Linked DNA regions of Astyanax mexicanus. The protein of the gene in region 2 interacts with the protein of the main gene of each other region in a pairwise test. Links are inferred from orthologs where the notes say so. Each region holds a gene or a part of one and is shown on either strand. Other genes may lie near its edges.

Region 1 (10,772 bases), on a different chromosome or scaffold from region 2:
GGGGAGTACTTGGGATTCATCTTCCCTATGTCATAGCTCTGACTAAAACAAAACACAGCAAATTAGTGTATGAGCCTGACCATTTTTATAATTCATGACAAGCAAATATTTTTGTATTGCGCAGATTCATATCAAAGTAAATAAAGACACTACTACTAACGACAATAGGAACACACAGATAAGAGGCTGCTGCTTGCTAAAATGAACCATGTGGGGATGGGAAGGGACACACACATTGCTTTTTCTATGGTTACTGATCAAAGTTGCAAATGTACGGTACAGGATAACATAAGTCTCACCTGAGCCAAAAAGAGCTTTCTTCAAGCTTCTTTTGATTATATGTTTCCACTCCGAAGTTGTAGCAGATGAGAGACAAATAGCCAGTCTAAAAGAAATTAAGCTGCTTTAATTACTGTAAAACAATTATTCGTACAAATAAAAACGCAAAGACAAAACGCAAACAAGAAATAATAACATGAAAATAAATCGTATACCTCCTTAGGAAGCCTAAGAAGCATCTCTTTACACCGCTGCATGCAGGACACTGCCTCCTGGTGATTCTCTTGAGCAACTGCCTAAAAGTCAGTCACGCCAAGTGCATTTATGTAAAATATATTCTAAATGTATTATAATATTATTTTAAATTGTTTGCTAGGATTATTACAACTCCAGTCATTCTCTACTACTAAATGCATTACATATAAGCACCATCTTACAGATTCTGCTTGATAAGAGAGAACACGCAGAAGATCTTTCTCTACATCTCCTTTCGGTGTGTTGGTATCAGAAACACCAGCTCCATGGGATGTTAGTCTGCAGTAAAGAGTCTCCAGACTCTGTGAAATCATACAAAACATTTATTATTACTGTACTGGAGGTTATATTTAGGTCAACAACAAACTCAAATCAAAATACAATCAAACCAGATTGTTCTATTAATTTAATTGCACTGTTTCACAAGAAAAAATAATTTGTGCAATGTCATTGTCTGACAATATTCTATATATCTATATCTTTATATCTATATCTATATAGTTGACATGAAGTTCACACTTACACTGACTGCAAGTTTTAAAAAGTCATCGGCAAGCTTAGGGTTTTTACAATCAAGCCATGTTCTCCCTGTCTTACTGGCCATCTGCGACACATAAAAATACAACACACACACACACACACCATAAAGAACTAGCTGAAGTGCAGTGGAAATGTTGCATTAAAAAATTAGACTAAACTAAAAGGAAATATAATTAGTGTTTTCAGAAAAAGTTCTGAATTTCAAAAATAATATTAAATGAAGTGAGAACACAGACAAACCATAATCTGTTTGCGAATAACATTCTCAGGTGGTTCCTCGGTTTCACACACATACAGGAGTTTGCAGGCCACAAGACGCACTGAATCACACAAAATATATCATAACATGTAAGGTAAAATGTCATTAAAGCATCTGTAAACTTACAGAAATAAAGACTGCCTGTAAGAAAATAACATGACATTTTTATAAAACAAAAACCTTTGGCTTTTTGTTGCTCACTAATAACAGAACCAATATTTTTGGTCACAGCCCAGTTCCACAACTGAATAGCACATTCTTCAACCTGCAAATAAAAAACATGTTTATTATTTTTGTTTTGAGCTACTTTCTAAAAATGAGAAACAAGATAATCATGTCCCATTGGGGTCTGTGTAAGGTTTATCAATTTATCAATTTTCAGATTTTTTTATACATGTTTTTCCAATTATCTAGTTTTTCATTCACAGTCAGCATTTCAGCTGAAAAAAACGTTATTGTTCTTCTAATTGTTTTTTTTTTGCCCTATTTTGGTACATAAGTAGGTTGGATTACAGCATCAGACTGGGGGGGGGGATACCAGTAAAACCCCATCTCTATAAGTTAATGTCAGAGAAGATAACAATGTACTTTTTATTAAAAATGCCTTTCTGTTCTTACATATTGTGGTAAACTGTGCCATATCCAGTAATTTGGTAACCTTTATCTCTTTATATTTCACAAGACATCATAACTTACTTCAAATTATTGTCGATATAAAGTCCACTTTTAAAATTCCGTGGATTTTCAGCTTTAGACTTATGATCTAGCTAAATAAAATTTGTTCTCAAATAGACCGGCACCTCTGTATCTTGAATTTTAGTGGGTTTCTCAAGCGACTGAACTTTTTCAAACAGCGTCTCAATCAAGTCGTTCACACTGTCATCACTCTGTCTGTTAAGAAGACTCTCTGCCAGACCTAAGAGAGAAAAACAGATTATATTGTTGGTAGTTAGGTAGTTCATACAGCACGACATGTTTGGCTGTTTATTTTGGTTGAATTGAGTTGTCTACATTACCAATGTAACTATAATTGGTTTCTCTAGTCATAGCTTATATATTGTGGTAGGTTTACTAATGATTACTACATAACTAAGTAACTAACTTTATGTACCTTAATGTAGCTAGCTACATTTGAAGGCAAACACTTTTTTCCAGCCTTTTTCTTTTACTGGAATAATATTTAAGCGTGGGTTAACTCTACATTAATTTAAGTAGTTCGCTATCTAGTAATTGCTCCACCACTAGTACAAAGTAGCTAAGTCAAGATAACTAGTTAGCTGACTAACAAATCCTTCAGCACAAGTTAGATGGTAAGCTAGCTAGTAATTCCTTCACCACTAGTTAAAACAAGTCAGTTAGCTTTTTTCCAAGTTAGAGGCCTCAAGGGATGCTTTTTAATTTTACTGTAATAATTTTCTTTATCGTTTAGCGTGGGTATCTGTACTTTAACTTAAGTAGTTTTCTAGTTAGTGATTCCTCCAACACTAGTTAAAAGTAGATTAGTTAAGGTAACTAGTAAGATAGCTAACTAGTAAGTTAGCTAATTCCTCCACCACAAATTAGTTGGCAAGCTTGCACTTCCTCCACCACTAGTTAAAATTGTCAATTAGCAAACTAGCTAGCAATTCTTCCACCACTATTTAAAACAAAGTTGGTTAGCTACGTATTTCTCCACTGCTATACAAAACTAAACTAGTACTTTAAAACTAAAAAGTGAACTAGTTAACCTAGCTAGTAATTTTTTTTACCAATAGTTAAAACAGTCAGTTAATGCTAGCTAGATAAAAGTCGTATTTCCTCCACCAACAGTTAAATTTAATCAGTTGGATAGAAATTCCTCGACCACTAGTTAAAACAAAGTTACTAAGCTAGGAATTTCCCCACCACTAGTTAAAACTAAGTTAGTTAACCTAGCTATTAATTTATCCACCACTAATTAAAATTGTCAGTTAATGCTTGCCAGTAATTCATCCACCAATAGTTAGTTAAATTTAATTTTACTTAAAATTGTCAGTTAGGGCTAGCTAGCTAAAGCTAGTAAGTTATTTCCTCCGCCAATAGTTAAATTTAAGTCAGATAGCTAGTAGTTAATTCCTCAACCACTAGTTACAACAAAGTTAGTTAGCTAAGAATTTCCAGACCACTAGTTAAAATTAAGTTAGTTAACCCAGTTAGTAATTCCTCCACCGCTAGTTATAATTGTCAGTGAATGTTAGCTAGCTAGAAATTCATCTACCACTAATTAAAACTAAAGTTAAGTTAGATATCCAGGAATTTCTTCACCACTAGTTAAAATTATTATCAACCAATAGATAACTTAGTGTAATTTAGGTCAGTTACTAGTTAGCTAAGCTAGGCTAGCTAGTAATTTCTGGACCAATAGGTTAGTTAACTACCTAGCTAGATAGTATTTCCACCACCAATAGTTAAATTTAATTCAGATAGCTAGTAGTTAATTCCTCAACCACTATTTAAAACAAAGTTAGTTAGCTAGGAATTTTCCCACCACTAGTTAAAACCAAGTTAGTTAACCTAGCTATTAATTTATCCACCACTAATTAGAATTGTCAGTTAATGCTTGCCAGTAATTGATCCACCAATTTTCAGTTAATGCTAGCTATCTATTAAACCTAGTAAGTTATTTCCTCCACCTATAGTTAAATTTAAGTCAGATAGCTAGTAGTTAATTCCACTAGTTAAAATTAAGTTAGTTAACCCAGTTAGTAATTCCACCACTAGTTACAATTGTCAGTGAATGTTAGCTAGCTAGTAATTTATCTACCACTAATTAAAACTGAGGTTAAGTTAGATATCCAGGAATTTCTTCACCACTAGTTAAAATTATTATCAACCAATAGATAACTTAGTGTAATTTAGGTCAGTTACTAGCTAGCTAAGCTAGGCTAGCTAGTAATTTCTGGACCAATAGGGTTAGTTTACTACGTTACCTAGCTAGATAGTATTTCCACCACCAATAGTTAAGTCAGATAGCTAGCTAGCTAAGTTAGTTATTCTTTGCTAGTTAAAACTAAGTTAGTCAGCTAAAGAAATAAAACACAAGAACTACATAGTTAGTAAGTTAGCTCTAAATTTCTCCACCACTAGTTAAAATTAAGCCAGTTAGGTTAACTAGAATTAGCTAGCTAGCTAGCGGCTAACAAGCTAACGCTAACTCACAATAATTACCTCAGATAAGCAAACGGGGATTTTAGTCTTTTGAAGACAATTCTTACCTTTCACATTAATAAGAACGTCCTCCATCTCAGTTTTACAATGTTTATACCTTTATAACATGTATTTGAACCCAGGCAACCTCGTATCTATACTGTTTTTAGGACAAAACCTCGTTAAAATCCCGTCTTCTCTCACAAAAACTCACACAACTAATCAGCTAACGTGTTGCGCGAGCCTAAAGGGACAGTGAAGACATAAAGCCTGTAACGTTAGAATTATAAAGACAGGGTTTTTTTTACAAACATAAATTGTAATAAATATGATAAAAAGTAAATAATAATAATAATAATAAAAAAGTAAAGATAAATAAATAAAACAAATAAATCAAAATAGAATTGAGTTAAACAATACAGGGGAATTTCCAATTACTTTGAAAATAATGTTGGTAAAGTTTTTTTTCTCCAGAAATTTAAAATTAGCAACATCAGAGCTAATTTACAACACACACATTATACATTATTATTGACTATTTGTAACACAAAGCTTTCACTATTATTAAATCAGACAAAATTAGACAGTTTTTTATGGATTTTCTGATTACATGAGGAAGACCAGGATATAAAATTATTTGATACAAAGATGGAATATATGGGTCTACCTGTTTGTTCCTTATTTTCATGCATATAGTGCATTGCTAAGAAAATAATTAAATTGCTTGAAAATATATTCCTTTTTTTAATTCCTCATAATTTTTAAAACATATATTTTAAAAAAATGTTTACATTTATTATGTGTAAAATTCTGAATAAATCTAAAGACATTTGCCATAGTCTTTACATGTGCTTATAAAGGCAAAAATATATTTAGTAAATGGCGGTAAATCACAAAATGACACCAATACATTTGGTAAATATGCTTATAAGAAATACCTTTGACATTATTTAGTAGTAATATTTCCAACAAATATTCTTCCCCTGTAAGACAGCAAGCTTATTTACTGGAGGTGCAGTCCTGCTATATGACCACTAGATGGTGTCTTACACAAGACATATGAATCACTTAATAAAAGATTCATAGACAGAAAGAGCAAATTACTATTATAATTATTATAATTTTGCTGTATTGTAAAGTTTTGCTGTATTGCAAATATTATTTGTTAATAAGAAAAAAATCAAACATAATCCTTTATTAGTTCTTTATTAGACATACAAAGGAAAAAGTGATTACAAACTAAGAATTAAGATATAAACCTTAGTAGGTACGTTTCCTAAACATGATACTTTGATTTAAATGGAAAATCTGCATTTAAAATGCTGTTTAGTTCAAGACATAGCTTAATTGCTGTCTGGGATTCCCCTGTAAATAAATAAAAAAATAAACATTGATGAAGAATTTTACAAAAACTGCATATGACAAAACAAACAACGGGTGTTTAAAACAAGAAAAACAGTAATTCACCAGTTTTGCACGATTCTTTCTAAATAAAGGCATATTGACCAATCATGGTCTATTCTAAGCCACATTTAACATAAAGGTTTTTGTTGCTACAGCAGACATCTTTGTTTTAACAGGGAGCGAGGTTTATTGTTGACCTGAAGGAAAGAGCTCAAGCTGCGCACACAGAACTACTCGGACCCTCTTATTGTTTTCCGCACACTAGATTAAAAAAGAAACGTCTTAAAAGCCCAGGCCTTTCAGCCCTTGGTTTCCAGTAATTGTTCCCACTCGAGTCTTATCTAGCTGCCCTCCTGGCCCACGGAGAATGTGCACCCTTCTGAAGACTTGCCTGTAAAAGAAAAAAGAAAGAAAGAAATGTATATGAGTTGTGATGTGAAATAAAGTCCTCGGGTTTACTTTAGAATGGAATAAAGTAACAAATAGGACAAAAGAGCTATTTTAAAAACCTATTTCATCATTTTATGCATCATTTACTTCATAAAACAAGACAGGTTGGGACAGTATGAATAATAAAAAAAGTGCTGAGTTTCTTACATTTAGGTTTTTTGTCATTTGTTTTATTGGAGACAGAAAGCTAAATATTTTGTTTAATTTGTTAATTTACAACTTTTGTACATCAATTCATGCATTGCAGGCCTGCAACACATTCCAAAAAAAGTTGGGATGAAAAATCAACACTCAAAAGATTCTCTATTCTCTATTCTCTATTTAGGACAGGTCCGGTCTGCAGGCAGGCCAGAACAGTACCCATACCTTCTTGTTCTGAAGCCATACTTTTGCAGTGTGTGCAACATATGGTTTTGCATGGTCTTGTTGAAGAAGAAATACATAGAGGTCTTCTCTGGAGAAGATGTCATCATAAGGCAGCATATGTTGCTCAAAGATCTCCATTAACTACATTTCTACATTAATGCTGCATTGCAGAGGTGTACTGATCAAAACCCAAACCATGACAGACCCTGGCTTCTGGCCTTGTTTCTGATAAAAGTCTGGATGGTCCTTGGATTGCATCCATTTCTTCACACAAAAAAATAGAGGTACGATATAAGTCTTTTCTTTTGCTCAAAGTGCACTTTTTATCATTTCATAATTGTGTCCTATTAAGGTATAATATTGGTCTTTACAGGGTCAGATGTTCCCTCTGAAGCATAAAGTCTTTCCTAACAGCAGGAAGTACAGATTTGTACCATTTAACCAGCTAAAAGGTACATTTGGTATTCTGTATCACTGTACTAATAAATAATATATATTTTAATTACACATTTTTCATTTTTAAAGCCAGACAATTTTGGACAATCAATTCTCGACACATATTCAGTTGATGATAATGTTTATAATCTTTATAATCTTTACTGGTACCAAAAACATGGGTCCAAAAAAGACTATTACTAAAAGGTATTCTGTTGTACCTTAATATAAGGTACAGCCCCAGCGACAAGCTTTGTACTTTTTTGAGTGTTCCAAAAAAGATCTGGAGGTTTCCACTGTGAGATGATCAATCCCAGAAGCCTCATAGCCCAGAGAAGTTAACACATTTGTTAATATAAGGCTTTGATTTGAACTGTAATGTTTTAAGAGAGGAGACACACCCAGTGTAAGTCAGTGAATCAGAACTCTTATGCCTGACAATCTTATGAACAACCCCTCCACTAAAGTATATCCATGGATATGTCCCTATTTGTGATAAGGTGAACTTGCTGGACGTTTCAAAATCATGGGAGGTTCCCAAATGTTTTTAGGCCTAGATATAGCATAGCTGTGTGTCCTGTTTTCCAAAGTTAAAAATAAAGCAGCAAATATTTGTCCTGTGGATATTTACCTCGATAGCACGAGTAAGACAATGCCTGTTTACCTTTGTACCCAGATATTTTAGGGAGGTGCAGCTATGTTTATCTGTTTATCTCGAGAAGGACATTTGGGGAAAACAGTCATGTGTAAAGTCACTTGTTTTAACACTATATCAGATCAACTGGCAGTGTTTTTAGTCTTTAGTATGTTCTTTGGACCTGAAATAAACAATGAACATCAGTAGTCAGTCATAGAATATGTTAGTTTTTTTCTCTCTGACCAAGCTAGACAGTTAAAGATAAGTAATAATAGAAGTAATATAAATAGAAATATATTAATTTTAGATTTATTTGAAATATATAATAGAAAAAAAAAACTGAAATTCCACGTAAATCAGTTGTAAATCCAATATTATTGATAGATAAAAGTAAAATTACAGAGATCTGGATTTTGAATTTAGATATGAATAATATTATTGCTACTAAATTTAAAACAAAACAATTTTAGATATCTAAAGTATATTATAGAGATCTAAAATTCCACATATCCTAAAGACACATGATCATAACTGCAGTATATTAAAGATATATTGACCTAGTCAGGATTCAGATAGATCAGATAGATCTGGACCTGGACTGAAACCTGGACCTGAGAATTACAGTGGAGATAAATGGTAATGATATAAATGGTAAAATATGACTAGAAAAACTAACATTATGGCTATATCATCCCAAAAATATGTCTAGTCAGAATGTCAGAATGGATTTATAGATACAGTACCATTCAAAATTTTGCACACTCTTTCTCACTAAATGTTTTCTTTTATTTCTTAAACAATTACTGTGTGTATACAGCTCTGGAAAAAATAAGAGACCTCTTCAATTTATGAATCAGTTTCTCTAATTTTGCTATTTATAGGTATAAGTTTGAGTAAAATGAACATTGTTGTTTTATTCTAGAAACTACAGACAACATTTCTCCCAAATTCCAAATGAAAATATTGTCATTTAGAGCATTTATTTGCAGAAAATGAGAAATGGCTGAAATAACAAAAAAGATGCAGAGCTTTCAGATCTCGAATAATGCAAAGAAAACAAGTTCATATTCATAAAGTTTTAAGAGTTCAGAAATCAATAAATATTTGGGGGAATAACCCTGTTTTTTAAACAGTTTTTATGCATCTTGGCATGTTCTCCTCCACCAGTCTTACACACTGCTTTTGGATAACTTTATGCCTTTACTCCTTGTGCAAAAATTCAAGCAGTTCAGCTTGGTTTGATGGCTTGTGATCATCCATCTTTCTCTTGATTATATTACAGAGGTTTTTAATTTGGTAAAATCAAAGAAACTCATCACTTTTTAACTGGTCTCTTATTTTCTCCAGAGCAGTATGTGATATTATTGATAGTAAATGATAAAAAACGCTTTACAGATGTTTTGAATGTGAAATTTACCAGTATAAACTCGTATTACTGGTTTGATTTGAGACTTAAAACGGATTGCTATGATAACACTGAGTGTGTGAGAGTGCCACAGGCTCCCAGTCAGGGCTCAGTGACGTTGCCTCTTCCTTTCAGTATAAAACCCTGGAGCAGGATGGGAGCAGGAGGAGAGCTGCTGCTGCTGCGCTTAGTTAATAGCCTGCTGCCGTCTGTGCAGCTCATTCCCCTGCTTGGAGTCGCAGTGGAGGATATGTGAGACGAACCCTGAGAATCCTGGACTGTTTTTTTGCTTGTTTTTCCTACTTTTCTTATTTTTTGTAATATTCTGATTCGCCAGGAGGAGAATAAAACCACATAGCACCTGCCCAGAGGCGCAGACTGGCTCCTACCCCTTACCTGAAGGAGCGTAAGAGCTGAAAAAGTGTCTGGACACCATGGAATACAAACCTTAACCTTGAAAACAGGCTGTAAGCTACCAACAAGAAGTTCTGTGGCTGCAGGAGCAGCTTATAGCTGCGGTTCATCCATCCACTGTTGGAGGTTATCTCTTCTTCTTGCTGCTGCTGATAGATATAGATAGGCTAGAGGGACCTGGGCTACTGGGTTACTTTGGCTTCTGACTGATTGACTGACTTTTCGTTGGAGTAACATTAGGCTACGGAGGGACGGAATGATTCCCAGAAGATCGGCAGCCTTCATAGCCCTGCTTTTCCAGTGCTTTACCTCCACAAACGGTGAGTCCACTTCTCTGGTTTTCTCTTCTCTCTGCCTGGTTGCTCTGCTGATTGATGCTGGTTCAGCTTCACTCTGAAAACATCTGAATCTGAGACTGATGTCACAAATTTGTATTTAAAGTCATTAAATATTAATTTGTGAAGAGTATTTTAGCTAAATATATATTTTTGTTTCATTTTTGGGCGCTTGTGTGGCTTTAATTCTGGTTGGATGCTCTCTCTCTCTGGAGTTGGCTCAGTCTCTTATTATTAAGGCTGGACAATTTGACAAAAAAAAAAAAAAAAAACATATCCCCATATGCAATAGTGGAAATTGGAGATATATGATAGGCTACAAAATATGATATAATTAAAAATATATTAAAAAAAGATCTTGTTAAAGTATTATTAATATTACTTTAATATATGTTGAAAAATTCAGCTTGCTGGTTTCAGATAGTTTAAGCTGATTCAAAAAGCTGGTCACCCAGGCTATATACTGGTAAATAGGGCTGCAGCAATCAGTTAATCATAATCGTAATTGACAATGTCAATTATTTTTAACAGCACCACACTTAACAAAGAACTGGGCACAGAAACACAATGGGAGGGGGCTATATTAATGAGTTAACTCACACAGTTTACCCTCAAGTTGGCCTGTGTCTCCATAAGTTCACGAACGCAACAGATTATACAGTACCAGTCAAAAAAATTGACACACCTTAAATTCAGTGTATTTTCATTATTTGAAATGTTTTGCATTGACCAGTAATGCCATCCAAACTATGAAGAAATACATGTGGAAATAATTAGTAAACCAAAGAGAAAATGTTTTATGTTTTAGATTTTTCAAAGTAGAAGTTG
Region 2 (11,358 bases):
ACCTTAGTTCTCTCCCTGTTAACGTTAGCTAGCTTGCCGTCGATGTTAGCTAGCTCTACACTAACCTTAGTTCTCTCCACAGTAACATTAGCTAGCTTGCTGTTAATGTTTGCTTGCTCTACGCTAATCTTAGTTCTCTCCACAGTAACATTAGCTAGCTTGCTGTTAATGTTAGCTAGCTCTACGCTAACCTTAGGTCTCTCCAAAGTAACAATTTAGAATATAAATGAAATTGAGAACATGAAATTCTTTACATTTAGGGTGAGAAAGTCTTTATCTGGGTGTTCATATGACTTACGGCAGACTTCTTTAATGTCTTTAGGTATTTTCTGTCTGTGCAGAAGCACAGGAACTGTGTCTCTGCCACTGTTGGACTCCTGAACTATGCGAATCTCCACTGAATCGTCAACCAGGTAATAGTGCACTATCACTTCAAGCTTCTCTCCATACAGAGAGTCAGAGTCATCCCAAACAGCGAAGAACCGCAGCACCTACGCACACAAGCACAAATTCACACATATGGTGCATATTTCTTATTTTTCAACCTGCTACTACTTAAAAAAAGTCGTTTCCACGACCAGGACACTTTTAATTGATTTTACATTACTGAAAACTGATTGCTGTTCCCAGTTATTGTTATAAAAGGGAGACCAGCAAGAGTTTTAACATATTTCTATTCTCTTTATAAGTTTTAGTGATTAACAGTAGTGTGTGTATCTCTCAAATATAATGTGTGTGGGTTACCTTGCGATCCATGGTTAGAAACTGTTTGAATCTGTCATAGTTTGTTGAAGAAATGTCAGGGAGCTGGGGTTGAATCTGTCGGCTTGAGTGTGGGTCACCAGGGATCTGCTCAGGGTCGTTTAGAACTATCCCCTGACTCTCCATGAACTCCTACAAACACATACACACAGATATACAGATATACACATAAGTAATCAGATGGCTTGGAGGATCACATTACCACAGCAAAAAAATCCCAGTGCTAAATGTGGGTAAGGATTGTTTATGGTCGGAGTTTGATTTAGGATTAGTTTGCTTAGGGTTAAGTTTATGATTAGGCTTCCTATTAGTAAGATTGTTTTTAAGGTGTTTGTAAGTGTTTGGTTAGTTTTTGGATTACTATGTTTAGGATTTTAGATTATATGGTTATTTTACATTCATAAATAATCAGATGGCTTAAACAATCACATTACCACAGCAAAAAAATCTCAGTGCTAAAATGTGGGTTAGGATTAGGGTCACTATTTTTATTTTTATGGTCAGGGTTTGATTTAGGATTAGTTTGGTTAGGGTTAAGTTTAGGGTTAGGCTTCCCATTAGTAAAAATGTTTTTAGGGTTAGGTTAGGTTTTGGATTTTAAATATTATGGTTATTTTTGGAGTTTTTGTTTAGGTTTAGAGTTCATTTGGTTATGGTTAGGGTGAGTATGATTATAGTTTAGAGTTAATACTTGGCGTGAGGTTTGGAATTAATATTTTTAAGGTTTATGTTGTTTACTGTGGCTATAGGGTTAAGAATAATGGATAGTTAAGGTCATGGCAAGAAAGAAGTTTTAGGTTTAGGGTTAGTATAGTTATGGCCATGGTAGTTTTACATGGTAGCAAAACTAACAATGATAATTTACTTATAGTAAAAACAAGTATGCATAAGTGTGTACCTGGGTGAAGGGGTCACAGTTTGTGATTCTGTACACAGTGTTATACACAATCATGTCCATAGCAAGGTTGAAGTCCTTCCAGTGGTAGTGCTCCCCGGGCTGGTTTTTGGGCAGTCGGTGACGTTTGATCTGTTTGATTTCCTTTTCATTTGTGTTTTTCAACTTTGGCTTCATCACACAAATGCTGTCATCCTCCAGGTAGTAGTAGATCACTACAGGCTGCACATAGAAATGCTCGTTTGGAGAATGTAGCACTTCTTCCTTGTAATAACCATAAAAACGCAGCACCTAGTGGTAGAGAACATACAATTCAAAGTTATGGTCCATCTGGTTTAAAAAATAGTTCAAATAGTTTTAAAAACACACAACTTCCAGTAGGTTTTGCACTTGAGCAATATTTAATATATCATAAAAAAGACTCTGAGTAACAGAGTAACAGATTTCCAGCGATACAGTAGTTTACATTAAAAACAGCATGTCATACTATTCCATAATTGTCACAAGAGACATATACCTATAGTAATACTATATTATTGTTATAACAAACACTGCTCATTATACTCCCTCTCCTTTTGAACCAATATTGTGCAAATTAGCCAGATTGACCTATCAGATTGTAGATTGTTTCCCATCGTCTACATGTTGAAGGTTCAACACTGGAATGAGTAGGAGATATAGTTTGAATAATGTATTTAAAACATAGCATGTTTCCAGTGAGCACTGACTGATATGTGATGACCATGGATGTCTGGTTTTGGGTCAGCCTGGACTGACCGAAATTAGCTTAAAATATATACGCTTTTTTCACTTTTTAACCAAATTATGGATACAATTTAAAGTAACTTTTTTAACTTCTAATTTTAAGAACCACAAAGCTAAAGAGCCTTATCCCATCTCCTTACCTTCTTGTCATAAGCCACAAAAGCTGGTATAAAGTCCCGCGGGGGGCTGCGAGTGGGGGTGCCGTAGGTGAGGGTGGGGATCTGACTGGACAGCTGCTTCATCTCGTTTTGAAGGATGTTCTCTGAGAGCAGGGGATCCTGGCCTATTCCCGCTGTGGGCCTAAGAGGCAGCGCGTAGCCGTTCTTATAGGACAGAGTTTGTGGTCTGTGGAAGGCTGATTTCTGAGGAATGGGCCAGAGTGAGAATTGAAGATAGAATGCAAACAATCACATCTGCTACAATTAAAAATTGTGGGCAATATGGTAATATTTATTGATATAATGATTTATTCTATCAAAATGTGATTGTCGCTATATAAAATTAAATTAATGAAATTACAGACATGTTTCTGTACAATTTGATTTAGACCAAATGTATATTAATTAATTTAGCACAACAAATAGATTTATTAAAATTATAACAATATTTGTATTTACCGTTTTTCCATTTATTTTTTTTTTTCTGGACAAAAAGTATTTTTTGTCCAGAAAAAAAAAACTCTATCCTGGTAAGCAAGCTGAATAACCAGCCCTTGACCAGCGTAGTGTAGGTTACAAAACTGATTGGCCCCTGAAGTGCCCTTGTCCTGTCACTCATCTGTAAGATTGAAGGTAGATTCAATTCCATGCTCAAACACTACATAAACAGTGTCATTAAAGTTTATGTAGGAAAGAAGTTCTGAACTGACTTTGTAAAAATAAAATTTTTTTTATATATATATTTTTTCTTATATGCTGTGTGTGTTTGGGAGTATTTTTTATGTGCAGCCAAAATGAGGGTTTCTATTTCGTGTAGATATTATACGATTTTTATTTTTAAGAGATTTATACAAGAGGGTCAGAAGGAATTTACAGGTGAAATCTTAAACATGCCACTCAAATACTGCAAATGAATTACTGAATTCCTAGGACACTGTGACAGAAGAAACTAAATATTTCTATATTTATTCATTTTCTATATTTTACTCTATTCTATATTTTCACACAAAGAAATATTATTAAATTAAAGCCAATCTCCTTCGACTTTCTTATCGATTGTTCCAACCATTTAACGTTAACCATTCAAATGCTTTAATCAACTAGCTAATGGTTTTACGCTCTTATTTCTTGAACAAAATGTTAAAATACAGGTTATAAAACTCTTGGGGTTTCTGTCACATCCGGACTCTAGCCTTACAATATTATAGTCATGTTCCTACAGTAAGAAAAAAAAACACGAATGAGCTGCTCACTATACTTGGTATCAATATTCAGAAGTGGTATTTAGATATATCTAAGATTTAAACACATTTAAAATATGATATGAAACAATAACAGCCCACAATATTTCCCAGGGCTAGTAGACATATTTATTAGTTAACGTTATTTAAAACAGGTCTCTCACCGTTGTGTCTCGAAAGCTGTTCCCAGGCAGGAAAGGAAGACCGTGTGTGGTGCTGACAGACATTTTATGGGACTTCTTCTTCACAAATTTACAAGTTAACCGCCTCTTTTCTAAGGATGTAAACTGGATTAAAGTGTGGATTAAATCGCTGTGTGAACTCGCCTCCTCTGGGACCACAGCGGACCTGCGGTCTGATACAGGACGTTTGTTTATTAGCTCTGGTATCCCGTGGCAACCGTGGGTCCCACTGAGCATGTGCACAGTATTATATTTTTATTTATTATTTAGTCCCTCAAACATTTACTCTGTAGTAAAACACAGTTAAATCTGTAACACAGCTTTTTTACACACATATAACAAAGCTTAGTTGAACTGTGCGCTCGTGTGCAGGAATGCAGGTTACCGTGTTGGGTTTGTGTGTGTAATAATGTGCAGTATACATGTGACCGGCAGATGTCGCTCCACACCAAATAATAAGCACAACAGCATCAACACAGTCCTGTAGAGTTCAGTCTGAAGTTTATTCCAAGCACAGGGATTAGGGTAAAGCTGGGTTAATGCAGGGAAGCAGAGCAGGTAGAGTACAAAAACACAGTTTGTGTGGTCCTTGAATTTAAATTCACCATCCTAAGATATCCTGAACACTATAATTCTATGAAAAACGTGTCCAGCACTCGGGTTGAAACAGAAAATATTACAGCAAAGTCGGACAAGGCAAGGAAAAATCTGTGTTTTAAACACAGGGAAACAAGTGAGACCATTGTGTAAAACCAATACTTTACTCTTTGTATTTATTTCTTGTTGCTGGAAAACTTTATGGCATTCCTGGTGCATAACTTCAAGCAGTTCAGCTTGGTTTGATGGCTTGTGATAATCCATTTTCCCCTTGATTATATTCCAGATGTTTTCAATTTGGTAAAATCAAAGAAACCCATAATTTTATGATATCTCTTATTTTGTTCCAGAGCTATACATTCCTCTTTGAATAAATCAGTAATATATCAGCAATATATCATTTGGAATGAATATATACATATACACTTGTCAGACACATTGAAGTATACCCTGCACTGTACTACATGGCCATAACACCTTGCACAGTTGTTTCAAAATTTCAGCATCATTTTATCACCATAAACAAAGGCATTGAGAAGTTGGTGTGAAATTGGGCTACTTTACACAGGTGGTGATGAAAATCCAGGGTCCAAATGACTCCAACACAAATGCAGACATTTTAATAGCTACACAAACTCTCTGATGCATGTCAGTGCATCGTGTTGCACTCATAGTCAGTGTGATAATTTCTGACCCTGTAAGTTTCTCTAGAATCAAGTGTTTCACACCAAATCACTCTAAACGTCTATGTTTATTTCTTCGCCATTTATTTATGCAGAAATTTTTAAACATCTTTAAAACGGACTGGAGGGGACTGTAACAAATTAAAAAAAAAAGGATTGCATCAGCATAGCCTAATCAATCAATAAATAAATCACTGATTGACATGATTGCATTTATATTGGTTTCATAAACAATAAAACCACCAATGATGAATTAACTTACTAAAACTAAATGAACTAAGAGTTAATTCAACAGCAGCAGTTGTATGGTGTTTAATGTCCCATGTTCTAAATAAGGCACTCAACTTCTCTGCATAATAAAAGCCTGTTTAACATGTAAAAACACTAAAGGCTTCAACCTCTTTGAGGTTTACACTTCCGGATATTTCCTGCGGACACTTTTTCAGCAAAGTACATCCTGTATTTTTTTTGTTTTAAAAATAAAAAATAGTATCATTTTACACAGAAACACTTGGATTACATCCCTGAGCTATCACATGAATGCTGCCACAGTATAAAAATATTTCATAATAACCATTCAGGAAAACAAAAACAATAGGAAAAAACTATTAAATATTCAAAATATATTTTATAAGGGCTGAGATGAATTCCAAGCATTTTTTGTTCATCTATTTTTCCTCTTTTTTTTCTCAGGTAAAGTTCAAATACATCACGCGAGCCAAAGGTCGTATTTATGAGCAGTCTTCAGACCTGGTCAGTTTCCTTGATCTTGTCCTGATACCCATCCTGACAGGCAGAAGGAAAGGATCAATCAAGAGTGCTGGAAGTGTTTAGAGCTTATTCCATCTTTCAGAGCTGCCTCAAACTCCTATATGCTGCCAAAAAAAAAATCATCCTACAGCTGGGACAATTAGCACCCCCAAAATATGGACTGCAACTCCCAGGAGCCTAAGCATCCTATAAGTTCAGGAAAAGAGTTGTTGGTGGTCGTATTTACATGGTGTTGGACCACACTGGGGTTGAAATGTCACGCTTACCAGGCTGAGGAGCTTATTCTCACCGCAAAGGCCTGGAGGTGCCAATCATTGACACACACACACACACACACAGCCCAGAGTCCAGCTGAAATAGGCCAATACAGTCTGTGTTGTAGTTTTCTGCAAGTCCTTTCGAAAAACTACAACCCCCAGCTATGGCCAACCAGAAGCAAAATAAATCACAGCCTGGGCAGTGGAGGAGTATATGTTAGGGCTGCAACCAGTAGTTGTTTTGAATATCATTTATTAATCTATTTGCTTTAAAGACTAATCAAACCTGTATGTTTTCTTTGTTTTCTTCCTAGTCTGTGCAAGTTGCAAATCATTATTTTAACGGTGAAACAACAGAAGCCATATTGCCCCAGTAGTGTACTGCATTCTGTTAGAATGCACCATATAAAGATTATAGATATCCAGAAATGTTTCAGAATGACTGCATGGACCATATGAATGTCATAGATTGTTATAGAGTGCTTTTAAAATGGCATAGCAGTAGTCAACCTGCCCCCTGCATTTATATATAATATATAATTTAATATAATCTGCATTGCATTTCAAAAGTCAGAATGACTGTGTGGATCATATATAAACATTATAGAGCAAACCACACTACAGAGGCCACTACAGTGGTGTGATAGTGGTTTGCAGTCTGAATTAAAAAGCATTATAGAGCAGTTTAAAATGGCATTAGAGAAACCATAGCACTTAACGCTTCCAATGGTGTATTTAAATCGATCAGAATGAGCTTGTGGATCATATTTATGATTTTTATACAACTTAATGGAGCTTTTTAAAGTAAAATTAGAGAAGCTATATCACCCCTACACTTCCTGTAGTGTACTACAGTCTGTCAGAATGAATGAATGTATCATATGGCCACTATAGAACATTTTATAGAATTTTCCCTATCACTCCCCGCACATCTTGTTGTGTTTGTCTTATTTTAGCATAATTGACTAATAGCTGCAGCCCTACTGTGTGTATTTCCATGCCACTGAGATACGTCCGTTAATAGTATCGGTTGAGGCTTCGTGTGCCCGGTATGTCCGGCTGTCCATTCATCCAGATCTCGCGGATGATTCTCTCTCTTTCCTCCAGCCGTTGTGCTCTCTCCAGCTCCTCGGCGGAGGTGAAAACGTTGGTGTTAAGCGTGCGCTCAAAGCGCCTGTGTCGTCGCGCCGACAGGTCTGAGCCTGAGTCCCAGTCTGAGTCCGAGCCGCTGCTGCCGCTGTCCGACTCGACCGGCCGCGGACGCTTCTTGCTGACTGTCCGATTCCGCCTGCAGTCCGTCCGACAGGAAATGTGCACCACCAGAGCGAAGAGTGTGAGGAACAGGCCCGCACACACACCGCACATGAAATACAGAGCACAGCGCTCTGGGTGCTCTGTGGACACGCACAAAATAAACACAGGATTAGCTTGGTCAATTCATTAATCACATTAAGCCCATCCATAGCAGTTTTCCACAAAAACTCTACTATAGCAATACCTTCAACACATTCAGCAGACTACTCTAGACAACGCTCGCCTGGATAAATCAATCAGCAGCATAAATAAAAAAAAGCAGCATCAAAGTGAAGCTCCACTGTAACAAGAACCCACAAACTGTCTGGAGGAGAGTGTGAGGCGTCAGTCGTGAAATAGCTGACCACTAACAGCATATACAGCTCATATACAGCTAAAAAATGAAGAGACCACTTCAGTTTCTGAATCAGTTTCTCGGATTTTGCTATTTATAGGTATTTGTTTGAGTAAAATGAACATTGTGGTTTTATTCTATAAATTACGGACAACATTCCTCCCAAATTCAAAATAAAAATAGTGTCATTTAGAGCATTTGTTTGCAGAAAATGAGAAATGGCTAAAATAACAAAAAAGATACAGAGCTTTCAGACCTCAAATAATGCGAAGAAAACAAGTTCAGAAATCCATATTTGGTGAAATAACCCAGGGTTTTTAGGTACAGTTTTCATGCATCTTGGCATGTTCTCCTCCACCAGTCTTACACACTGCTTTTGGATAGCTTTATGCCACTCCTGGTGCAAAAAGTCAAGCAGTTCAGCCTAGTTTGATGGCTTGCGATCATCCATCTTCCTCTTGATTATATTCCAGAGGTTTTCATTTTGGTAAAATCAAAGAAACTCATTATTTTAAATTGGTCTCTTATTTTTTTGTCCAGAGCTGTATATGATAAATATGACATGTATAGTTGTGAAGTGAAACATGTAGCCACTGCTGTTTTAATTGAAAGTTGATTTTGAAGGCTGGACACAGCTCCATATACTGAATAATGCTACAAATTTATTGAAAGTAATACATCCACTGTTAATACATTGACATGTTCGTGTAGTCAGAGTATGGTAATGTGTGACTCTTACCTGTAATGTAGGTGTAAGCTGCGAGAGCGTTGCTGATCAGAGACATCTCTGTGCTGGACGTCGTGGCAACAGTGATAACAGTAGGATCCTGGTCACTAGGTGACGATGTCTCTTGCTCTTGATTTTCCTCTTCTCTATCTCTTTCAGTTTCTCTTAGTCCGTTTTCAGAAGGAATCTTTTCCTCCAAATAAGGACCCGACTTCCCTCTCTTTGACTTCCCTGTAAACGCACACAAACACACGCAAATTCTGATTTAATCTGAATACTGCTGTTGCGTAATAAGGAGTTCAGACAGTCTCCTCCTGACGGTTTGTTTGTTGTTTGTTTGTTGGCGAGTCTTTCATTTGCAAAACTCTCTTTGGGTTTCATTTCATGCTGACAGGCCACGTATCAGGGGGCATCTAACTATGTGAGTGTGTGGGTGTGTTAGTGCGTGTGTGTAGACCAAGCAAACAGCCCATTAGATGATTAAGAGTAAACAGAGAGTGTGCCTTATAGTTATAACATCTCAATTAGCTGAGCCTGGCATTGCACCATTCTGAGGCTTTTCACATCCTAGAGCTTTTTATATCTATACAACTTTTCACATCTAAAGACTTTTCACATCTTCACAACATATTGAGAATTTACAAATCTTGAAAGTTTTTACATCATTAGACTCTTTTTTCACCATAATAAACTTTTCTTATACCGAGACTTTTAACATCACATACTGAGATTTTTACACCTTAAGCCTCCTCAAATCTTCACTTCTTGAGGATAACCTGTATTCTGTATTGTTACAGAAGGGATCAAGCACTTTCACCTGAATTTTAACGCCCCTAGCTCCCACTTGGTTAAAAAGAGAACACTGACCACAGAACCTATCATCAGACAGAAAGGACAGCTGAAATCCCTGGGGTCTCTTTTCTCTTTATCATGGACAATTAATTACAGAACATCCTGTATCTGCAAAGCTACCAGCTTCTTTTCAGTTATGTTGTCTGGCAGAAGGTACCCAAACACCCAGGCTATCACTGCCAGACTCTGTAACAGCTTCTTCCCCCATGCCACTGAACTCAACACCCTTCTCACATTATTCACACATTAACACTGTTCTACCACTGTTTAGTGCTTTTTGTAAAAAGTATTAAATTAATACATTTTTACTATATTTAAAACCTTGTTCTAAGGTACACCATTGCTCCAGAAGCACATACTTTTCTTCCATTGTGTTTCTGTAAACTAATTAAAGGACAATACAAAACTTAATTTTACTGGACCAGTACTAAATGTGGTTGTGCAAGGCCCACACAACCACCTTTTGGTACCAATTTTAAGTCGTTGCAATGGAAAATATAAATCTAATAATAAATGGAATAAATATCATCATTGTGTAATTATGTAATCACTTATACATAGTATTGCAAAATGTCAAGGAGCCTACACTGCTAACTGCTTTCCATAGGTCCTATTCCCTTTGTCCAACATTGATTTTATTAAACACTTAAAATAGATCACTGTGTTTAATACATCTATATAATATAGAGTTTTGCATTTTCAACTGAATTAATGAAATAAAGTAACTTTACAATGATATTCAATTTTACTTAGATGCACTAGTAGAAGTACTAAGGTATTCAGCATGTTTTGTAGTGTGTTTAAGTACTGCTAGTAGTTTATTGTAAAATGTAGTACTGAATTACTGAAATTAAAAGTACGGTCTTACGTTGTAAATACAGTTATTGCATTCTAGTGCTCACCTAGTGCTTTAGTGAGCACTAGATGAGGCAGCTTAAAATATTTGATAAGAAGGGGTATCTATAAATATTAAACATACTATAGGGCCCGATTTTAGTGATCTATAGGTGATCCATCTTTTAGGGTGGGTCATGGGTGTCTTTGCTATCGTAACGACGGGAAAAGTATGCCTATGCCTTATGCCTATGTTTAAAGTATACATGTTTAAAACATGTAATGGGTGTTGTTGTGTGGTTTGGGCTTTGTTTGTTTATGAATAGAACAGTAAGGCTGCTTCTATTACAGTGTGTAACAGAAAAATCAAGCCTTCCGTTTGTGCATGTGTGTGTTTTCTGTGTGTCATATCTCATTTTGCCGATAGTGCTCAACTTATAGGTCATATAAACCAGTTATAAACCCGTTTCTTAAATTTGCAGTTCTACGTGGAGCTTATATGGGTGTGTATGCATCATTGTGTGTGTGTGTGTGTGTTTGTGTGCATGTTTGTGTGTATATGTACATGTGCCTAAATCAATCATGCATGTGGAAACGAAAAGCAAACAGGCCTGAGGTCAAAGCCACTGCTTGGCTATTACTGAGATGCTGGCAGAGCTGCTGTTTTCCTTCAACTCACTGGAGCACAATCTGATAGTGCCTGATAGAAAAGCATTGCCAGTAGAATAGGAAGCACATGACCTAAGGTCGCCATGTGCAATGTCCCCAGCACTGAGCTGTGAAACTGTATGCTATAGAATGACAGAGATCTACCCAGTACCTTTGTCAAGAAGCCTTTACTTCATGCTAACTGGTTTTCTACTATGTCCCATTCACTACTTTTCAAAACTAATCTTCCAACATCAGTACACAGTCAGAAAACAATGTACTGTACAGGTACATTTTTGGTTTACCAAGATCCAAACCATACTAATGTACCATCCAGC
Region 3 (10,210 bases), on a different chromosome or scaffold from region 2:
TTCAGAAACAGAACATCATACTGAATGTAAAACATGGTGGTGGTAGTGTGATGGGCTGGGGCTGCTTTGCTGCGCATTTATATCGTCAGCTTGTTGAGATGCGTTTTAAAATCATCAGCGTCCTGTCATTACTTTCACCGCGCTCCGCAAATTTATTTGGCTTTGATTTGGCGCCCCCTCTAGTGCAGCGCCTCTATGCGTCGCATAGGCTGCATACCCCCTTTTTGCGCCACTGGTGGCAGACACTGGTTTATTTTGTGTTGTGTTTAAACTCTGACCACTAGAGAACAATGTTGTACTTTGTTGTTAGATCCCACTGCTCTGATTGCATAGTTTTTTTTTTTACTTTGAGAGATTTCCCAAATTTGGACGATTGCAATAAAATGCAGTACGTACTGCATCACAGTATATTGCAATGTATTGACTTGTACCTCCTGTATCGTGAAGTGTATTGCATCGCCAAGTTCTCGCCCATTCACAGCCCTGCTTAACAAGCTTTTTGTGACAGAACGGGGGCATACAGTGCAGTGTTTTCTATGCACTGATTATATTCTTGATATGCTTAAAAAATCATATTGTGAACACAATAAGAAAATTTATCACAATATGATAAAATATCATATGGCCCACCTCTAGTTGACTGGGTGGATTGCAGATTATGCTATCTCTGATTAATTGTGTGTGTGTGTGTGTGTGTGTTTGTGTGTGTGTGTGTGTGTGTGTGTGTGTGTGTGTGTGTGTGTGTGTGTGTGTGTGTGTGTGTGTGTGTGAGTGTGTGGGCAAGGTAAACTAAATAGGCATTCAACAATGATATAATATGATACAGCATACAATTCTGAGACAAATTAAAAAATTCTAAACTCTCTGAAACAAGAGCTACCTGTTGCCTGGATCTACGATTTTGCATTTTGTGAATGGCCTGTGCTTCAGATGTGGGCTGTTGAGTTTCTTTGTATTGATTAAAACGACATGAATGCAAGTGAATTAATGAATTTTACTTACCGTTCAGTTCAGGAACACGATGGCTAGCATTTACTTTATTTGGTAAAAGTGAATGAGCCAGGGTCTGATTTATTCTCGTTTCTCACTCTTTCTGAACAGTCAGAGCTGTAGTTGTGAAACTGGTCTATCGAGGGCATGTGCCATCTCGAATTCACATGTTAGCTTGACCAATTATGATATTGGAGAGGAGCAATATTAGTCATTCCTCCCCTGGAACACTTGATGAGCATCAGCAGGCTTTTGTTGTAATGTAGGAGTCTCGTTCGCTTGGCAGCAAATGGATGTGAGACCAAGCCATGAATATTTGAGCAGATAATGGGCTCTCCATTTGAAATAAATGCGTTCAACCCCCCCACACTCCACCCCACAAGGTGTTAGCTGCCCGCTGCCTGTGGGTTAGAGCTACATCATCAGTCACGGATAAGGGGCTAATAAGCCCCACAGTCTCTCATCAAAAATGAATGACCCTTATCTGCAATTAAAAATGGAACTCGGTTTGATGTTCTCACAACAAACTGTGGGGTTGGGACTGATTCCATTTCCTTGTGTCAAGTAATTATTATGAATCATTAGAGGGAGAAGGGAGCAGGACAGATTATATGGAAGCAGATGGATTGTTTTGTGTGGAGATGCTGTCTGCTCCATTTGTGGGTGTGATCATATGTCCAATGTTGCCTCATTTAAAAATGACTGACTTTGGGTGGTGGCTGAGTTTAGCTTTGTGTATAAAACTGAATCATCAGTGTGGCATTTAGTGTGGCATTTTTCAGTTTTCTTTTTTTTTTAGGTGAATGCTGAATACTGACAGTTTTTAAATTAATACATAAGAGAGATTTCATAAATTTTACTCTTTTCAGTAGCATTATCTCACAGCCTGTATTTCACAAGTTGGAGGGGAAATAAAAGGAGCCACCATAAATGATAGATGAGCCACATGTATCTGTGATGTACAACGTAGATTTTACCTTTACATGTTGCTTACATTTATAGTTAAAGTATTTATAATAAAAAAAAAAGAACTGAAAGCAGAGCACATGTGCCGAATGAAAGGCAAATCTTAATACATCTTAATGGGCTTCACACACTAACATCATCCCTGTTTTAAATTAGGATCAATGCTTGAGGAGATATTTAACAATTATTGAATTGTGGTTCTCTATTTTTAGGTCAGGCAGAATATTGCAAAGACTAATTTAGGGCACAATGTAGTTCCTGTTACAAGCTGCCTTCACTGTTACCAAGGAAATGAGTTGTAGCTGTGTGCACACTGGATTGAATCATGTTTCTTCATTAAAGTACATTACACAATCTTGCTAATGGCTGTTATGATCATTCTCATCACAGATAGACAATTGATCAGGTAATGTAACAAACCTACAGCTTTATGGAAATGTCTTTTAAATAAGTCATGTAGCAGAAGGTAGCTTTTATAATGTTTATTTTGTAAAACATTGACATATTTTACAATAACATTTTACTGTCAGCTTCACTTTTACACAAGACCAGCAATCACAACATTTGCTCCCAGAGGCGAACAGAATTTGCACATGCATTAGGTAGTATTTCAGCCTGTTGCTCAGAAATCACAGTAGTTGTATAAATGCACCTGTTGCCATTTCCACTTATCTGAAGAGATTCTGGGAAGAGGTCAGAGGGTAGAACACTCTGCAGTTCAGAGGCCATGTCCATGTGCTATTCCTCTTCCTTTTAAAAAAGCCAGCTTTTGTTAAAATGAGGGACTATGCATGGTATACCAAAAGAAAACACAATACATAACACCTCTTTTTCACTTGTAAAGGCAGTTGGTAGCTGGAGCTGGAGGAACGCAGAAGCAGTGTTACTTGTGGAATGTCCCTTTTGTGTTCCAGCGCAGGTCCTGTGCAGTATGTGCTGGTGGCAGGGGGACGTCAATATGGGATGGGAGGCAGTGGCAGCGGTGGTGGTGTTGGTGTTGGTAGGTCTCGGCGGGTCATGTGGTTCTCAGCATCAGTCCTGGTTGGGTCACTTGACAAAGTGCAGAGCCTCACACTGCACCACTGATCCCCGGCTGCTGTCCAGGCAGGTGAGCAGCCGGAAGCCTCCTCTCAGTGCCATCATCACCGTCTCCAGCTTGAGCGTCTCCAGCGTGCACAGGAATGTGCTGTCCTCCTTCAGCACCAGCCGGGAGCCCTGCTCTGACTTGATGAAGTGTCGGAACTGGATGACGTTGGACGACACCTCGAACTCCTCGGGGAAGCCGTCCAGCCGGCTTTTTGAGATCTGGACCAGGCGCCCCTTCACCTTCTCGATGAAGCCTGTGTCACTGCAGTAAACCTTGAGGCCCTGGGAGCGCTCGTGGCTGTCTGTCACCTCCAGAAAGGCGGGTTCGCGATGGGTGGCCTGTTGCTGCTCCCAGTCCTGCACGGCTTGGGACAGCTCGCTGAGTCGGTAAAAGTCAGCCTCGCGGCGCAGGAGCGCTACCTCCTTGAAGTCGTCCGGCAGGATGAGCTCACCTGTCCGCAGGAAGTTCAGCACGTGGCGAAAGATGGGGCCATCGCGGTCGATGAAGGTGTTCCCCATAGAGTCGATGTGCTGCACGGGTCTCTTGCCGGTGACCATCTCCTCCAGCAGGGAGCCTGGGTGCTTTGCCAGTGTTTGGCGCTGCGCAGCATACAGGTAGCCCCCCACGTTGATGGTGATTGTGCTCGAGGAAGGCTTCTTAAAGCTCTTGCTGGGCTGCAGCAAGTCCGGATTGATCTGCCTCAGTTCGCTCTCCATCCTTCTGAGATTCCATTCCATGCCGTTCCTCGAGCCCAGCCTGTCTGAGCGCGGGTGGGGGTGGGGGGGGATGTGATGGTGGGGAGGGGTGTGTGTATGTGTGCGGGCGAGTGAACGAATAGGAGCTCAGCTGAGCGGCGCTGGCATTGAGCACGGGAGCACTAAGCACTGCCAGCAGTGCTGGAGCCTTTCACAGCCCTACACACACACACACACACACACACACGAGCGCTCGCACGCTCACAGGAGGAGGAGGAGGAGGGGGCGGAGGAGGTGGAGGAGGGGTGTTAGGGGTGGGCTCGCCTGCGTCAGTGGAAGGGGGCTGGAGAAGGGGAGAGAGAGTGCATCGCTCGCTGCCCTCCACTTTAAAGGCTGGATTTAATCACCTCTCCACTCCAGCATGCTCCTCCGCTTTGCTTCAGCAATTAGCGCCGCTCTGCTCTGGTGAAAGGGCCTCATGAGCAGGGAGACAGCACGTGAGCTCACAGGAGTGGGCCAAATCACTGGGACCCCACTTAATGCACTCTGCCTAAACTGAGCCAGTGGGATGCATTAGTGTTAATGTGAAAAGTCTACACATGTTAAAGTTCTCTCTTGTCAAAATCTTTGCTTCAGAGGTCCATCTGCCACCATTGTGTGGCGTGGTGAGCGTTGGCAGGTTTATTAATAAACGAGAGCCAGAAAGAAGACGGCGAATTGATGGGTTTATGTAAATGACTTGTTTCTCATCTTTCAGAAGGCATGAATGCAGTCAGTGCTTCCCTCCCTTTGAAAGGCTTTAAAAGAGAAAGGCTGCCTTGTCTTTGTGATCTCTGCATCAATCTGTGGTAAGAAGTGACCTAATTACCAGCTGTGGGAGCATGAGTTAAGCCCGAGCTTTTGATTAGTGAGGATATGCTTGTGGTTTGTGCGTAATTGACCGCAGACCATCTCTGAATAACGGTATATAAAGGATAAACACAACACAGTACCGTGTGACCAGTATTAAACTCCCAGGAAAAAAAGACTTGGTATTCTTAATATAGTGCCTTGGGAATGTGGGCTGACAGTGACAGGCAGCCGATGCAGTGTTTCTAAGTGTCTTTGTCTCTGAGGAGACATGCCAGTGTGTACACTGTTGTGCTAATATGGCTTGGGCACTGTTGGTCAGACATCTGAGACATCACGGTGAGCTGTCAGCAATGACAACCTGTCAGTCGTCCAGCGTGATCTGCTTGCCCCAGGCCAGGAGAGCTGAGCTCATTGGTGTCAACATGGTGGCTGTTGTGTATCATCGCCTTATCTCCATTTTTGCTGTTTTTCTTTTTTTTTTTGGACATACTTTTAATCTGGCAGTTGGTTTTTACATTGTGGCAACATTTCCTGAAGAACAAATACAAATTGTTTAGAAAAAACTTTTATTTATCTTATGAACAAAATATAGCTGGGTATAATTTCAGTGGTTTAGCCAATGTTATTGTATTTTAAATACAAAGGGATTTTGTGCTCATTTGTAAATCAGCTGCGTACTCTTGCTTTCTTTACTGCTTTGTGCATCATAAACATTAAAAATTAGTTTTTTGTATATTTAACAGAGAGAATGCAGGAAGAACAGGTATTGTGTGCCTTTAAGCATCTTTACTTAAATTCTGAAAGTGATTTTTTTTGTACATTTTAATAGATGCTGTGGTGCAGTCATCCCATTCTAGTTTTCTAGTGTTTAAAATAAATAATTTTTTTTTTTTTTTTTAATTCAAGAATGGGATTGGAGATCTATCTATGTTACTAAAATGACTGATCCTAAGACCTGATCAGATGATTTTTGACTACAGCCGCTCTGTTTCATACTGCTCTTTCTTTTTTTTTTTTTTTTTATAATTTTACTTCAAAATTTTCCCCATTTTCTCCCCAATTTACACAGCCAATTGCCCAACCCACTCATTAGGACTCTCCCTAGCACTAAAAATGCCCCAACACCAGGAGGATGAAGACTAGCACATGCCTCCTCCGATACAGGTGAAGTCAACCACCGTCTCTTTTCGAACTGCTGCTGATGCAGCATTGCCGAGTAGCATCACAGCGTACTCGGAGGAAAGTGTAGCGACTCGATACATTACATTACATTTCATAACGATACATCAGCTCACAGACGCCCTGTGCTGCAGACATCACCCTTTGGAGTGATGTGAGGAGAGAGCGAGAGAGCGTCATCTACCCACCCGTGAGGGCAAGGCCAATCGTGCTCTCTCAGGGCTCCGGTAGCCAATGGCAAGCTACATGAACAAGATTCGAACCGGCAATCTCCTGATCATAGTGACAGCGCTTAGCCTGCTGACCCACTTGGAGTCATCCTACTCCTCTTTCAACAAGTAGTTCCTTGTTCTATCACTAGATGGAATTATGGCACACACACACACACACACACACGCACACACAACTCTGCAGGATCCCATTCAAGTCTGAAAGCCAGTGTTGTATTGTGCTCCATATTGTAAATCCATTAGTCTGATGGTTTTACTGTATCTGACTAAAACTCACATATTTGTACATTGTATGAAATGTCTCATGGAGGGAACGGAGTAAAATTCTTAGCATTATTTGACTGATCCACAAGTTCAAGATGTTCAGAAATGAGTGATGGCACATTGAACATGTTTGCTGAGTCTAGAGGATCAGATCTTGCACTAAATTATGATTCTTAAATAACAAACCACTTAAAAACCTTGTCCCACGGAATATGACCATTAAACTGAATTCTAGGTCATCTAAATGCACAACCAAAGGGTGACTGTATAATGTGAGCATGGTCTGAAATCTAAAATATTACTAAACTAGTATTACTTCATATTGTGAAAAGTCTGAATAGGAAGATTAAACAATTAATTTTGTTCTGTGTTTATCTGTTTATCAGCTTGCTAACACACAAAATAAGCTAAATCTGACGTTGCCAGCCAGTCACGATTAAGTGTCAGAAGTGTTGAACTTGCTGTGACCTATAGCTAGTGACACTAACACCAACCATTGACCTTCCGATAATTGCTTGATAACATTGCTTCAGAGTCATTCTCATTCATACATGAATACAGGAATCTAAATGATCTGCAGAAAGCACAGTTTTACTTTTAAAGGTCTAGTTCCATCGTTTTTTTTTTCATTCATTTTAAAATGTCTAGTTGTGGTCGCTAGTATGAATGAATGCCATGTGAGCTGTTCTTTGCAAGATGGTCTTCTGTGCAGTGTAGCCACTGACGTAATCTTAGAGTCTGTATAAAAAGCAAAATCTACCGGAGATCCTATGTAAACCTAGTTACTTATACAGAGGTGGGCCCAGGTCCAGAAAGAAAGAAAATCTGTGGATTTTTACTTTTAACTATTGTAATAAGAACTGTTCTAAACATATTCAGCTGCCTGTGGGCGGTCGCAAGCAGAGGTGGGCGAGGCCATGGATACTAATTCACGGGTTGAAGTAGACACAATGCTTTTCCTGATTGACTCGTTTTTCTAAACGTTTTCTTTTATTAGCTACTGCAGCCAATGGAGTTTGAGGATGAGACTCAGAGAAACCTATAGTATTTCACAAAGAACAAGAAAAAGTGGATTTTATGAAGGATGCCTTTAAAAAAAGAATGGTTACAAAGGATTACAGCTGCTGGTATCACTGGCTTTTTAAATTCCATCTTGAGATACAATGTATTGGAATGTGAGCGAAGCCATGTGTAATGGCAGTAGAGCAACACCAAGTTTCCCTGGAATGATTAATATGGCATTCAGCCCAGCTTTTGATTAAATTTTGACGTATGGTGTTCAATATAGCCCTCAAAAGCACTGATTGGTCCATCTCTTACTTTATGATTTATGTTAAATGAGCTTATTTACATTAAATAAGGCAGTGAATAAACTGGCTCATATGTTTGGATGAGTGAATATTCGTGTGTCTATGTACTAAATGTGTCCGTTTTCTTTTTTTATTCACTAGTATGAGAGGCACGTACTGCTTTTTCATTAGACTCATCTACTATCATTTATGTTTAAAATGGCTCTTTTTAGCATCAACATATATCACTGCTGTCTTAGAATTTATTAGCGTTGAATACTTATGAGTAATGGCTCATCAGGATGAATCATATTCGTCTACATCTGTCAAAAGGCACAATTTCTTAACAGCATGAATTTAATCCTGTTATTCAACTGCAGACGGAAATTTTAACTTAACATGGACAAATATGACTGAATACAAATTATTTCATCACTATTGTCATTTTAGTGAGAAAGTACATGTTTCTCACAATGCCAAAAGCCTCTTCCTTAAGTCTTTATTTGGGATTTGGATGATAATTATAGTGCACAGTTATTATGAGCTGTGTCGAGATTTTCTATAAATGGTAAATGCGTTAAATTATTCAGAGTTCGCTGAGGTGTTAGCTACATGATTTTGATCAACAGTTGTCATGGGAAAGTCTTTTAGATCAGACGTTTGCCATTTGGAAACTGCAAATTACAAGTGACCACCATTACATAACAGATGTGGGAGGAGGGGGCGATAAGAGTTCTGATGTGCTGAAAGAGACACAAACTGCCTTCAAAAACTTAGACTGCAGGTAGTCGGAGTAGGGCGGGTCCTTGGTCAGACTGTCCTATGAAGACTTCTTCCCAGGAGCCTTTTGGTCATACTTATGGAGCCATAGCAATAATATGCAGAGCAGGCCCAAAGTTTGGACACACCTTCTCATTCCATGCGTTTTCTTTATTTTGATGACTATTTAGATTGTAGATTCTTACTGAAGGCATCAAAACTATGAATGAACACATGTGGAGTTTTATGTACTGAACAAAAAAAGACCTGGCCTCCACAGTCACCGGACCTGAACCCAATCCAGATGGTTTGGGGTGAGCTGGACCACAGAGTGAAGAAGGCAAAGGACCAACAAGTGCTAAACACCTCTGGGAACTCCTTTCTTCAAGACTGTTGGAAAACCATTTCAGGTGACCACCTCTTAAAGCTCATTGAGAGAATGATGCCAAGAGTGTGCAAAGCAGTAATCAGAGCAAAGGGTGGCTATTTTGAAGAAACTAGAATATATATACAGGTGCTGGTCAACGAATTAGAATAATTTGAAATAGTGCAATCATGAAATTCTTTGAATGCATTTTTTGTGCAGAAAGCAAATCAGGTGTTCACCGCACCTGTCCTACTCGTTAGACTAATCACAGAACTTGTTACCTGGAAAATTTGCTCAGCTGAGCTTTCCAAAAGGCCCATTTAGGCCATTTAACTGTGACACTGTTGTTTTATTGAATTAAAATAATGGAGAAACCGTTTCATTGAATTAGAATAAATGCTCGAATTTTTGTTTTCTGTGAAGAGTGTTCACTGTGCAGTATAAAGTCAGGGTTGAGTAGAATTTCTAAGTTGTAAAATCAATCATGGGTAAGCAGCGTGACCTCTCAACCGGAATAGTGGCTCAAATTCAAGCCCTTCGCCAACAAGGCTTGACCCAAACTAAAATTGCTGAGCAGCTCGGCATCAGCCAGTCTTCTGTCTGCAAAGCTCTCAAGAAAAACTGCAGCAAGCGCACCAACTGTTCCGGCGTCCGAAAAACTTCTGCTCGCGACAACAAGCAGCTGAGAAAGATCGCAGTCAGCAACCGGTTCAAGTCCACTTCCGAGCTCACCGACTTGTGGAACAAGCAGACCGGCGCTGACGTCTCCAGATCAACCACTTACCGTCGTCTGCGCGAACTCGGCTTCAAATCTTGCGTTCCAGCAGTAAAACCGATGCTGAACAAGAAACAAATGGAGAAACGGTTGAAGTGGACCAAAGAACACGGCGAGTGGACTGCTGAAGACTGGCAGAAAGTGGTCTTCAGTGACGAATCACGCTTCTGCATCTCCTTCGGTGACCAAGGTCCTCGTGTCTGGCGTCGTGGTGGCGAAACCTACAACCACGAGTGCGTGAAAAGATCCGGCAAGTTTCCCCAGAGCGTTATGGTCTGGGGATGCATGTCCGCTCGAGGTGTAGGGAAACTCTGCTTCCTCAAGAAGACTGTCAATGCTGCCGTATATCAAGATGTTCTGGAAACGTTCCTGATTCCGACTGTTGAGGAACAGTTCGGCGAAGAAGACTTCATATTTCAACAGGATCTTGCACCGGCTCATGCGGCAAAGTCGACCAAAGATTGGTTCACTAAAAAACAGCTTGAAGTTTTGGCATGGCCGGCCAACTCGCCTGACCTCAATGTCATTGAAAACCTTTGGGCCATCGTCAAGCGGAAAATTTGCGACAGAAAGCCTACTACGCTGGACCAACTGAAGCAGAACATCGCCACTGCCTGGGAAGCTGTGAGTGCGGAAACTTGCGACAAGCTGGTCAAATCGATGCAGCGGAGACTTCAGGCAGTCATACAAGCCAAGGGGGAAGCCACAAAATACTGAGAAAGTGATGATTGTAATTATAATAAAAATTATTCTAATT

Evidence for each region.
Region 1: the proteins of efhc1 (region 2) and tex11 interact in binary tests that used the Homo sapiens proteins (3 or more experiments, as listed by UniProt). The two-hybrid records come from large-scale screens. The link is inferred for Astyanax mexicanus from reciprocal best matches to the Homo sapiens genes EFHC1 and TEX11.
Region 3: the proteins of efhc1 (region 2) and kctd4 interact in binary tests that used the Homo sapiens proteins (3 or more experiments, as listed by UniProt). The two-hybrid records come from large-scale screens. The link is inferred for Astyanax mexicanus from reciprocal best matches to the Homo sapiens genes EFHC1 and KCTD4.

The regions. Positions count from the first base shown.
Region 1 is NC_064417.1:48,322,585-48,333,356, reverse strand, and holds the start of tex11 (testis-expressed protein 11), read right to left. Parts: upstream 4,765-10,772; 5' UTR 4,595-4,764; coding exon 4,567-4,594; intron 2,250-4,566; coding exon 2,134-2,249; exon of another isoform or gene 2,030-2,133; intron 1,599-2,029; coding exon 1,514-1,598; intron 1,395-1,513; coding exon 1,315-1,394; intron 1,139-1,314; coding exon 1,058-1,138; intron 837-1,057; coding exon 717-836; intron 576-716; coding exon 495-575; intron 386-494; coding exon 300-385; intron 43-299; coding exon 1-42. Other genes in the region: kdrl (vascular endothelial growth factor receptor kdr-like), read left to right, coding at 9,866-9,929. UniProt on the Homo sapiens protein: Regulator of crossing-over during meiosis. Involved in initiation and/or maintenance of chromosome synapsis and formation of crossovers.
Region 2 is NC_064408.1:42,212,518-42,223,875, reverse strand, and holds the start of efhc1 (EF-hand domain-containing protein 1), read right to left. Parts: upstream 4,393-11,358; 5' UTR 4,241-4,392; coding exon 3,986-4,240; intron 2,785-3,985; coding exon 2,563-2,784; intron 1,949-2,562; coding exon 1,661-1,948; intron 895-1,660; coding exon 745-894; intron 492-744; coding exon 299-491; intron 1-298. Other genes in the region: protein eva-1 homolog C, read right to left, coding at 7,329-7,705, 8,699-8,917. UniProt on the Homo sapiens protein: Microtubule inner protein (MIP) part of the dynein-decorated doublet microtubules (DMTs) in cilia axoneme, which is required for motile cilia beating.
Region 3 is NC_064418.1:28,509,779-28,519,988, forward strand, and holds kctd4 (BTB/POZ domain-containing protein KCTD4), read right to left. Parts: upstream 3,910-10,210; 5' UTR 3,781-3,909; coding exon 3,004-3,780; 3' UTR 2,424-3,003; downstream 1-2,423.